Coturnix japonica: one gene and its partner. The protein of the gene in region 2 interacts with the protein of the main gene of each other region in a pairwise test. Links are inferred from orthologs where the notes say so. Each region holds a gene or a part of one and is shown on either strand. Other genes may lie near its edges.

Region 1 (4,853 bases), on a different chromosome or scaffold from region 2:
GTTACAGAAGGGAGAATGCAAGGCCTGACATTGGCCTTAGTAAAATCAAAGAGTGATCCATATGAAGGATAAGAAGTATCTTACATATTCATTAAAAATAGAAGTGTAGATGAGCTTGTTTTCTTCTGAATCATCAAACTCCTGGTAGTGCTTCTCCATAAAAGTCCTCTGTATGGACTGGAAGTCATCATCTGGACCACAACAAAAAGGCATCATCTAGTTAGGAGTTGAGTCATTCTTTTCACAACAGAAACCCCACTGTCACCGCTCCTCTGCTTCCCTGTGGCAGCCACCAGCCTGGCACACGTGCAGGCAGTCACACCACGAGCACAGCTGCTGCTGCTGGGCCACATCCTGGCCCATCTGTGAGAGGACAGAGGGAGCAGCTCCAGCTGAGGGAGCGCATCACCCGGGCAGCAGCACATCGCTGTGTTTTGGCAGCAGCTCTGCCCTCAGGATGGAATTTGAAGTCGATTCTCTTCCTACAGCTTCTCAAACTCAACAGTATCAGCCAGACTGTCAGACTGTCAGCTACTGAAGGCTTTTTTTTCCCCAGTTGTGGAGATGAATAAGGCAAGTTACCACCAAACTCAACACAACAAGCAGGCTGCACACCTCTTGGTTAAGCTGAGAGCTCACGATTGCCTCTGCTCACATAGATTGGCTCTACTGAACATTCTTACCACCAAAAAGTTCTGCCACGTTGCAGACTGTTGTTGTGCAAACAGCATAGAAAATACTTTCCTGTACATTATTTTAATGCAGGGATGACGAGGAGAAAGGAAAGACAGCAGGTATAGGGTAGACTGGCTGTGTGCATGCAGCATTTTTAGCACCCATCTTGTTGCCTGCTTGCTGAGCTTACCCATGATGATATCCTCCAGGTATCCAATGACAGCATCAAACTCTGCATCAGATGGGGAGGAGCTGAAAGCACAAAAGGTGGCACTGCATAAATGCACATTTCAACTACAGGAAAAATAAACCTTAGAGATGTTAAGGAATGGTCAAGTACAAACAAGCCCAGTAAACTTAAGCAAGAACAATTTGCTACTGTTAACCTAGAAAATACTCCATTAGACCAATGTCTAATGTCGATTGGACAGATCAGAGACTGCTGTGTGGGATTTTCATTAGGCATCTATAATGTTTTCCTAATTAAAAAGTTGTTTTACTGGCATCACTGTTAAGTGATTCCAGTCCGGATGCAAAAAGAACAGGAAGAATATCATTGTAACACCAAATTAAACATTTCCTGAGCCACAAATCCAGGCTTCTACCACAATATTTCCTTCTGTTCTTTTTCTTGCATCACTCAACATGGTGACCACAGAACACTAGATGCTATTTTGCAGCACTTGGTCTTGTGGAGTTGCTTAATATATGCATTATTTCTCTATAGAAACTTAAATGCTTTTCCTGCTGCATGCTACACACAAAGGGCAAAGCCTCATAAGCTCCTTCTGTAATAAGCAGAGGTTAAGCATCGTTATTGATCTGAACACACCCAGGGAAGGAACTTCGGGCAGCAGCATTTCAGGACTCTGCTAATTTTCTTGTTCAGACACAACAGCTCTAAGAGAGCAGAACTCTTTCAGACTGTGCTGCTATCACACAGCAGTCCACCAGAATGAAGCCAAGAGCAGTTTAACTGTTCAGCCATAGGGCTCACCCTGACCAGAAAAAACAAAGACATTTGAGCACCAGCCCGTGTTCCAGCAACATCTGGGACCTGTTAAAGCTTAGAAGATGAAGTAAGGGAAGCCCAAAGCTGAATGCGTGCACTTCCAGCAGAGGGCACAGCTTGTCCAGAAGAGGAGCTCACCCAGGACAGCAGCAGCTCTGCACTCCTTGAGCATCGACTTTCTGACTTGAAGCAACGGAGCTTCTCATTTCACATTGCTATGCAAGGAGAACATGCTAAGGATCATTTGCTTTTCTTATTTCTCTCTCTCCCAGTGAACACTACCACCATTTTTAGAGCCTTTTCCAGCTTATAATTCATAGCTTGTTCTATTAATTGAAGCCAGTTTCAGCTTGTGGAGCACGTCACCCAACTGTAGCTGCTCCACACCAGCAGATTGCACCTCTCTGTGTGCACCCATACCTGCACATCTCAGCAAACACACGCTCACAAACCCCGTGGTTTAAGCACAACAAGGTCGGCACAACCTGTGCTGCTGTAGCAGCCCAAGGGCCTGCATGTCCTTGAGGTGTAATAAAAGAATCTGAAGGAGTGTAAAGCACAGCCACACATCACCTAAAGCTTGTGGCTGAAGGGGAAGAGCAGGCCAGGAAGTACAGGGTGAACCTTAACACCCACACGTGTAAAGTTTGGTTATGCCATAGAAAAACAGAACAGTTGGGCTGGGAGGGACCTTAAAGCCCACCCAGTCCCAAGCCCTACTGTAGGTGTGTACATCTCCTATGGCTCAGGCTGCACAAGGCTCTATGAAGCCTGACCCTGAGCACCTGCAGCAAATCATGGGCACCCACAGGAGCTCAGTGCCCTCCCGCTGTGCAGCCCTCCAAACCCCCACTCTTGTAGTTTAAATCCATCGCTACAAGGGCCACCAGGTGCTGCTCAGTGCATGGAGTTGGGACTCAATGGATGCCCCTCCATCCCATGGCTCTGCACTGCCCTCACCCACCCAGCGGGCAGCACAGCACACGTTAACTCTCGTATTAAATCCCTATGGAGATACTTTAAGCAGGACCCGACACAGAACGGCTCGTACTCACACAGCTACACCGAAGTTCTCCTCCTCTGAACTCTCCATCCCTCCAGCATCACAGACAACGTGCCGTACCGCAGCTGGCTGCAATCCTCCTTGTGTTGAGCCGAAGCGCTGAGGATTCACACGGTGAGGCGTTAATATAACGCTAATTAAGCTAATTAAAGCTAATTAAGCTATAAGGACGGCAGGGCCCACCCGGCGCACACACAGGCCTTGTCCCCCCAGTTCCCCCCTAGGCCACCTCCCGGCCAGGCTGTTACCTTGGAAACGCTTCCTTCCGGCCCGCCCGCAGCCAATCGCAGAGCAGAAGCGGCCACAGAAGTCCCGCCCACACTCTACGAAGAGCCAATGGGAGAAGGGGCGCGCCGCCATAGTAGGCCGCCAAGCAGTTGGGATTGGGGGGGCCCGTCTTCTATAAGCGCTTCCCTCAGAGCTGAGGCCACGAACCCAGCTCCCAACACGAGCAGCAGCACAATAAAACCCGACAAACACTCTTCAAGACGTTTTATTTCCGAACAGACGACTGTGCCACGCTCCATTTCTCCCCCTTCTTGGGTTTCCCACCCCTCAGAGCCCCACAGCAGGACAGCCCCCTATGGCGGATGCCAGCAGAAACCCAGCCCCATCTACAGCCTTTTCCATACGTGAAATAACAGCACAGTGCTCTGCAACACAGCCGGCCCCTCTGCACAGCAAAGCACTCGGGTCTCCCTGTCCAGACAGCACGCAGGCACCCAGAGCCATGTCCACAAAGACACCTGGGCTATTTGGAGCCCTGTGTTTCAGTTGGACACCCATACAGCTCTGTGGGCCTCTCTCATACAGCACTTGGTACTGAGCAGGATCCCCAGGCACATGGGAGTTATATCTCAGTTAATCCTGGCCAAGGAACCCAAAGCTGCATCTATTAAGGCAGAGTGCGAAGCGGTTCTGTCCCACTCCTTCCTCTACAGCACGCTTTGCTTTGTATCTTTGTGCCTATTGCTGCATTTGGAAGCATCTGGAATTTCATCTCTAAAGATTCTGAAAAGCAGAATGGCAAAGTAGAGAATACCTGAACTTTGCACAGTACAGTCCGTGAGGATACGAGGTGCCCCAGGCACCTATTTGCCATCCTGACCTTCATCACAACAGCTGGAAGAGAATTCACATTTCAGCAAGAACAACCCTCGCTCCACTCCTGATACAGTCTGTAGTTGGGGAAAAAAGCTCAACGAGAAAACGATGCACAGAACTTTCCTAGGGAACCGCTTTTACGTGAGGCTCAGAGGGACATTTCCCCTGTACCCCCCCATCTCCTCCTCTGGATTAGACTCAGCACCTTTGAGTTATGGAAGGCAGAATGTGAGAGGAACAGCCAGACAGCTCGATTCTGGGACCTGTGTGCAGTGCTCTCCGCTCCTTGGTCAGCAGGAAGCAAAAGTACTCAGCGTGAGGAATACATCTCAGCTCTCCTAACAAAGATGGTAAAAGACTTGGAGAATAAAACAGCTCACAGCATGAGATTTGCTACGACAGTCTCCTCTACTGAACCGCTGCCAAGAAGTGGGATGGTGATGGTGTAAATAAGGTACCAATTAATAGAGTTCTACTATATAGCCCAATCATTTAATAAAAGCAACCTGTACGATTCTTGGAAGAGAGAGTTCTACAGCCTGGGTGCAAAATAAGCAGAACTCCATTGACTTTTGTGCTACTTCACCAACTGAACCCTGATTCCTTGTAGAAACCAAACTAAGTGGGTCAAAAGCTGCTGCCGAAACACATCCTCAACATAGAAACATCACAAACATGTAACTCAAGTGGAGCAGACATTTCCCCCCTGTGTGATCCCTACCAATAATACAAAGTGTGGCCCCAAACCTGCTCAGAGCAGGACTGACACACAGCAAGCAAGGTGCGTTTCTAACGAGTTACAGAATAAGACCAAACTTGTTATCCAAGTAACATTTCCCCCCCCCTTCAAATACACTGGCCCAGAATTCTTCTCTACGCTTTTAAGTTAGCTCAATATGTTCCAAAGTGAACACAACCTTCCAAAATGACACTAATTAAAAAAAGATGTTTGCAGATACCTTAAAAAATACCCAGAATATCAAATTAATTCCAGTCCGC
Region 2 (4,811 bases):
TCAAACTCCTCTGCTCTTTGCAGACTTCAAGGAAGCGCTCTGCCCTGTGCAGGGCATTGCTGATGCCTGCCGCTTTGTCTCCCCTTCAGCAGTGCAGTACTTGGAAACCTCCTCCAGTTGTTGGTATGCTGCACTCCCTGCACATCGTTTCCCATAAAGCTATCGCACAACCAGTAAATAAATGAAAGATGTGTGACGTGCAGCTCTGCTAGGAAACTGGAGCAGCAGAGCACTGCTATAGCTTTGGAAAATGGTTTGTTTTAATGGGGTCGGTTGGGTACAGCCTCCATGTCAGACAAGGGGCAAAAGGAAAATTCTGAGCAGTACAGGCAGCAACACTTGCTGCTTTTGTTACAACTGGGAGCTCGAGGCCAGGAGGAAGATGTCTGACTACACGTTTTGCTATGTCGGTCCTTCATTCTCTGACCAAGATCTGCCTGGTGTCATCCAACCGCTCCGTGACTCAGTTTCCTTGGCTGCACAGTGGGGCCATGCATTGACAGGCCTGGATTGATGCAGCAGTGTCATCTTCAGTCAACAGCTTTAGAAGAACTCAGGTCGTCCCCCAGCCCTGCTACCCATCAGCAACAACCATCTCACTTGGTGTAGACAAGCAGGACGCAAGCTCTGCTTCACACAGCACTTCCACAACTCTTGAAGGCTGCTCACCCTTTCATGTAACATCTCCCTTCACTCTTGCTGTGAGCCCAGCACACGTGCTGCTCAACCGAGCCAAAGCCTTCAGCGCCACGCATCTCTCATGCTATGCATTTTTATGGCTCATCTTTCCCTCTGTGCTCCACCTACGACCTTCCAGCACCCCTGCCTCACAGCTGTGAGAAATGCTGGTATGCTCTGCAGAACAAGACACTTCCCCTCTGCGCTTACTCGGATGAGCAGTGAAATAATTTAAACGTCAGCATTAACCATCTTACCACTGGAATGGGAGCAAGCAGAACTGCTGCCCAGCCCAGCCAGTCCTTTACCCACACCATTTGAGAGGCTACAACTCCAAGAACTCTCAGAAATGAAAAATAGACTAGGAAGCATTAAAATGCTGTAGCAAATAGCACAAGCACTGGAAAACACCCAGTCCACCCTCCCCGTGCACAAAGCGCTCACATAACAACAGCCAGATCCCAGACTACACCAGTTTATCAGGACATCACAAAGCAGAAGAGCAGATTTGGCTGGTAGCAGCTGCAGGCCAAATGTGTCCCACAAAGCTGCTGGAGGCAGCTGCCTTCATCTCCACAGCAGATGTCCATCCTGTGATGGCTTTGGTGCCTGGTGTGACAAGCTCCATCATCGCCTGATCTAAAATACAGCAGGTCTCACAGTCTTTATCTCAATCTCTTTCTCTGTGGCACGGCAGGTGGGGATGCAGCCAGCATCAACTCAGCAAAGATGAGGAGCTGCCTTTGCTGTTCTCACTTATGCCTCCTCCTGTGCTTTAATACAGCTTGAATCCAGGGGGCTCCTGGACAAAACACAACTTTGCCCTACAGAAGCTCTTTCCCACATGACCATTTCCTTCAGCCTGGGCTCTCTGCACATGCTGTACCCCAGCTGCAGCTCCCCAGCCACCCCTCTGCTGATCCCCACTCATCCTTTCCTGACAGTCCTTGACGGATTCCACCAGCATCTCCCATCCCACCCCAACTACTGCAGCATCCAGCACCCAAGTCTATCACTCAGCCCCACCCTAACCTGATACAGGCAACATTTCACCCTCACCACACATCTGTCTCCCAGCGATGCCCTCTGTCCTTACCAGACCCTTCACAGTGAGGCTCCAATTCCTCTCAGTGAACACTGCTCCCCGTCAAATACTTTGTTTCCACACTTGAGCATTCCTTTCCCTTCTGGTTCGTCTCTTTCTCTCACTAGCACCAAAGTTCCTCTACTCCTTCCCACAATGAGTTCTTCTCTCTTCAGCCTGTGCTGTCCCCATTTCCTCAGCCCATGGCAGAAAACCCAAGAGCACTCAAATCCCAGCAACCCATCCTAGCCAGCCAACAGTGACTGGCACGGTACAGTGATCCCCCAAACTGGTCATCCCACCCTGGTCTCTCCCAGTCCCTGGGCAGTGTCTCAGCCCAAACACCCAGCTCCTTCACCCAGGCTTCTTTGCCAAGACTGAGCTCCCCTTTTAAGGCTATTTATCAACAGCCCTTCCAACTCTGCATGCCCTCCTGGAGCTCCCTCAACTTCTGCAGCCCCCAGGAACCAGCACAGGACGGATGGGTTGGAACGGATCTTAAAGCTCACCCAGGGCCCCATCCAAGCTGGCCTTGAATTCCTCCAGGGATGGGGAAACCTTCTCTGGGAAGGCCACACTGAAGCCATACTGAACAGCCGAGTTCTCCAGGCCGAACACGCGCAGCCCCTCAGCCTGTCTCCATAGGAGAAGTGCTCCATCCCTCTGAGCATCCTCGTGCTCCACTCCAACATCCCATGTCTTGTGCTGTGGCCATCACCACCACCATCACCACCACCACCACCACCCCCCCTTCCCCCTGGTTGCCCTGTCCATGGTCCTTCCCCGGTCACAGCTCCCCCAGCACTCGGTGCTCGGTCGCTGCCCCCATCACTGCCGTGTCCCTTCAGCCCATCCTCCCTTCCATCTCCCCTCGGGCCAACGGTGCCTCTGCGGCTCCGCTTCCCCCCGACCCCACGCATCCCCCCACGCCCCGACCGTCGGGCCGGACGCCCCAAGGGCCGAGCGATCTCCTCCGACCCGACCCACGCGGCCCGTCCCTGCCCACCCAGTCTCCCCCGTCTCCCCCATGTCCCCGATCTCCCCCCGTTCCCCCCCATGTCCCCGGTTTCCCTCCAGGCCCGGCCCGCCGCCCCCGCCCCGCTCACCATCCTCTACGCGGCAGCGGGGTTACCATGGGCAACTGCGTCACACACACGCCGCCGCTACGTCGCACGTCACCGCTTCCCGCCGGACGTACGGAGCGCGCGCGCGGGGCCCGCGGGAGGGGGCGGGGCCAATCGTAGCCACGCCCCCATCCTGAGAGCACGCGGCAGGTGGGCGCGGCCTCTCGGCTCGCTCTGATTGGCTGAGGGCGGCCACGCGGCGCGCCAAAAGTTTGGGTGCCGCGCAGGTAGGGACACGTGGGGTGGGGGCGCGGGTTGAGTGGGGACTGCGCGATGCGATGCATTGCAATGAACGTCACCGGGTGGCTGTGCAGCTCCACGGGTGTGCAGTCAGCAGCCTTGAAGGGGGGGGGAATGCGGCTTAGCACCGTTGGAAGCGTGCATGCCGTGGGGTGTGTGCGGTTATCAGTGTGCAGTGCAGGAGGCCGGCGGCAGCAGCGCCTCGGGTCGCTGAAAGTCCAAGCCAGCTGTTAAATATAAACCCGCAGCAGTTGACTCGGTGCAGCGCTCCGCAGCAGCACGGCGCTATCCCAAAATGGCTGCTGTGCCCCTCGGCTTCGACATCGATGCCCCGCGCTGGGATCAGAGCACCTTCATGGGGCGGCTGCGGCACTTCTTCAACATCACCGACCCGCGCACTGTGCTGGTGCCGGAGGGGGAGCTGGACCGGGCGCAGGCCGTGGTGGCAGGATGCAGGTGAGCACACAGCTGTGGTGCTGGGGCTGTGCCTGGCACCTGCCCGAGCGCTGGTGCAGCATCTGAGCACCCTGATGGAGCTGTAGATGTATCTGTTTGTAGCAGGAGAGTTGGGCTAGATGACTTTTAAGGGGCTCTTCCAACTCAAAAGATTCTATGATCCGTCAGAGGTGTTTTTGTGGGTGTTTATTGGGGTTTTGGGAGCCCTGAGCTATCGTGGCTGAGCTGCTGTGACTTCGGCCTTTCAGGGCCGGGATGGTGCCACCGGGGAGCAGCCAGGAGCAGCTGCTTTATGCCAAGAAACTGTACGACTCGGCTTTCCACCCTGACAGTGGTGAGAAGATGAACCTCATTGGCAGGATGTCCTTCCAGGTGCCGGGTGGCATGGCCCTCACTGGCTGCATGCTGCAGTTCTACCGGTGAGAGCTGGGGACACAAGTTGGGACACAGCCTGGATGGCCCTCAGCTCCTCTAGGGGCTCTAATGCTATGGGCTCAGGAGTGGGTTGCTCTCACACACCTCTGTCCCCATGAGCTTGCTGCATGCATCACTGAGGGCCAGGTGGATCTCATTCTCATCCCAAACCCCTCAGGGCTATGCCTCCTCCTGTGCTGTCTGCAAGACCCTCTCATACACATTCATTTCCCAGCCCTGCCCCTGCTTCACTCCTTGACTTCAGGCTGCCGTGCCTCAGTTTCCCCCAGCAGACACCAGGACAAGGGTACAGAGGGCATCTTATCTGTTCCCTGATGGCACCTGGGTGCTCTGCGGGCCCTTTTCCCTCTGCAGGACAGTGCCAGCTGTGGTGTTCTGGCAGTGGGTGAACCAATCTTTCAACGCCATTGTCAACTATACCAACCGCAATGCTGCGTCCCCCATCTCTCTGGCGTAAGTGTGCCCCTGTGATGGGACACCTGGTGCCTGTGGGATGCACCAAAAAGACATTCAGGCACCAAAGGAAGAGGATCTCAGTGTCAAAGGCAGTGTTTTATTTTATATTTCCATGCATCTGTTGCAAATCACCAGGCAAATAGGAGTGGCTTACGTCACAGCCACCTCAACAGCCCTGGCCACTGCTGTGGGACTCAACCTCTACACCAAGGTACGTAGGGATGGGGTTGCAACAGCTCCTGGCCGCATCCCACCCCATGCTGATCCCATCCTTTGTCCTGCAGCGTGCTCCTCCCTTGCTTGCCCGCTGGGTCCCTTTTGCAGCCGTAGCTGCTGCC

What was found.
Region 1: the proteins of ARL3 (region 2) and ARL2BP interact in binary tests that used the Homo sapiens proteins (3 or more experiments, as listed by UniProt). The link is inferred for Coturnix japonica from reciprocal best matches to the Homo sapiens genes ARL3 and ARL2BP.

The regions. Positions count from the first base shown.
Region 1 is NC_029526.1:1,740,514-1,745,366, forward strand, and holds the start of ARL2BP (ADP-ribosylation factor-like protein 2-binding protein), read right to left. Parts: upstream 3,004-4,853; 5' UTR 2,781-3,003; coding exon 2,743-2,780; intron 928-2,742; coding exon 866-927; intron 192-865; coding exon 85-191; intron 1-84. UniProt on the Homo sapiens protein: Together with ARL2, plays a role in the nuclear translocation, retention and transcriptional activity of STAT3. May play a role as an effector of ARL2.
Region 2 is NC_029521.1:20,421,869-20,426,679, forward strand, and holds the start of ARL3 (ADP-ribosylation factor-like protein 3), read right to left. Parts: upstream 2,989-4,811; 5' UTR 2,872-2,988; coding exon 2,869-2,871; intron 1-2,868. Other genes in the region: SFXN2 (sideroflexin-2), read left to right, coding at 3,422-3,582, 3,831-4,001, 4,372-4,470, 4,609-4,684, 4,758-4,811. UniProt on the Homo sapiens protein: Small GTP-binding protein which cycles between an inactive GDP-bound and an active GTP-bound form, and the rate of cycling is regulated by guanine nucleotide exchange factors (GEF) and GTPase-activating proteins (GAP).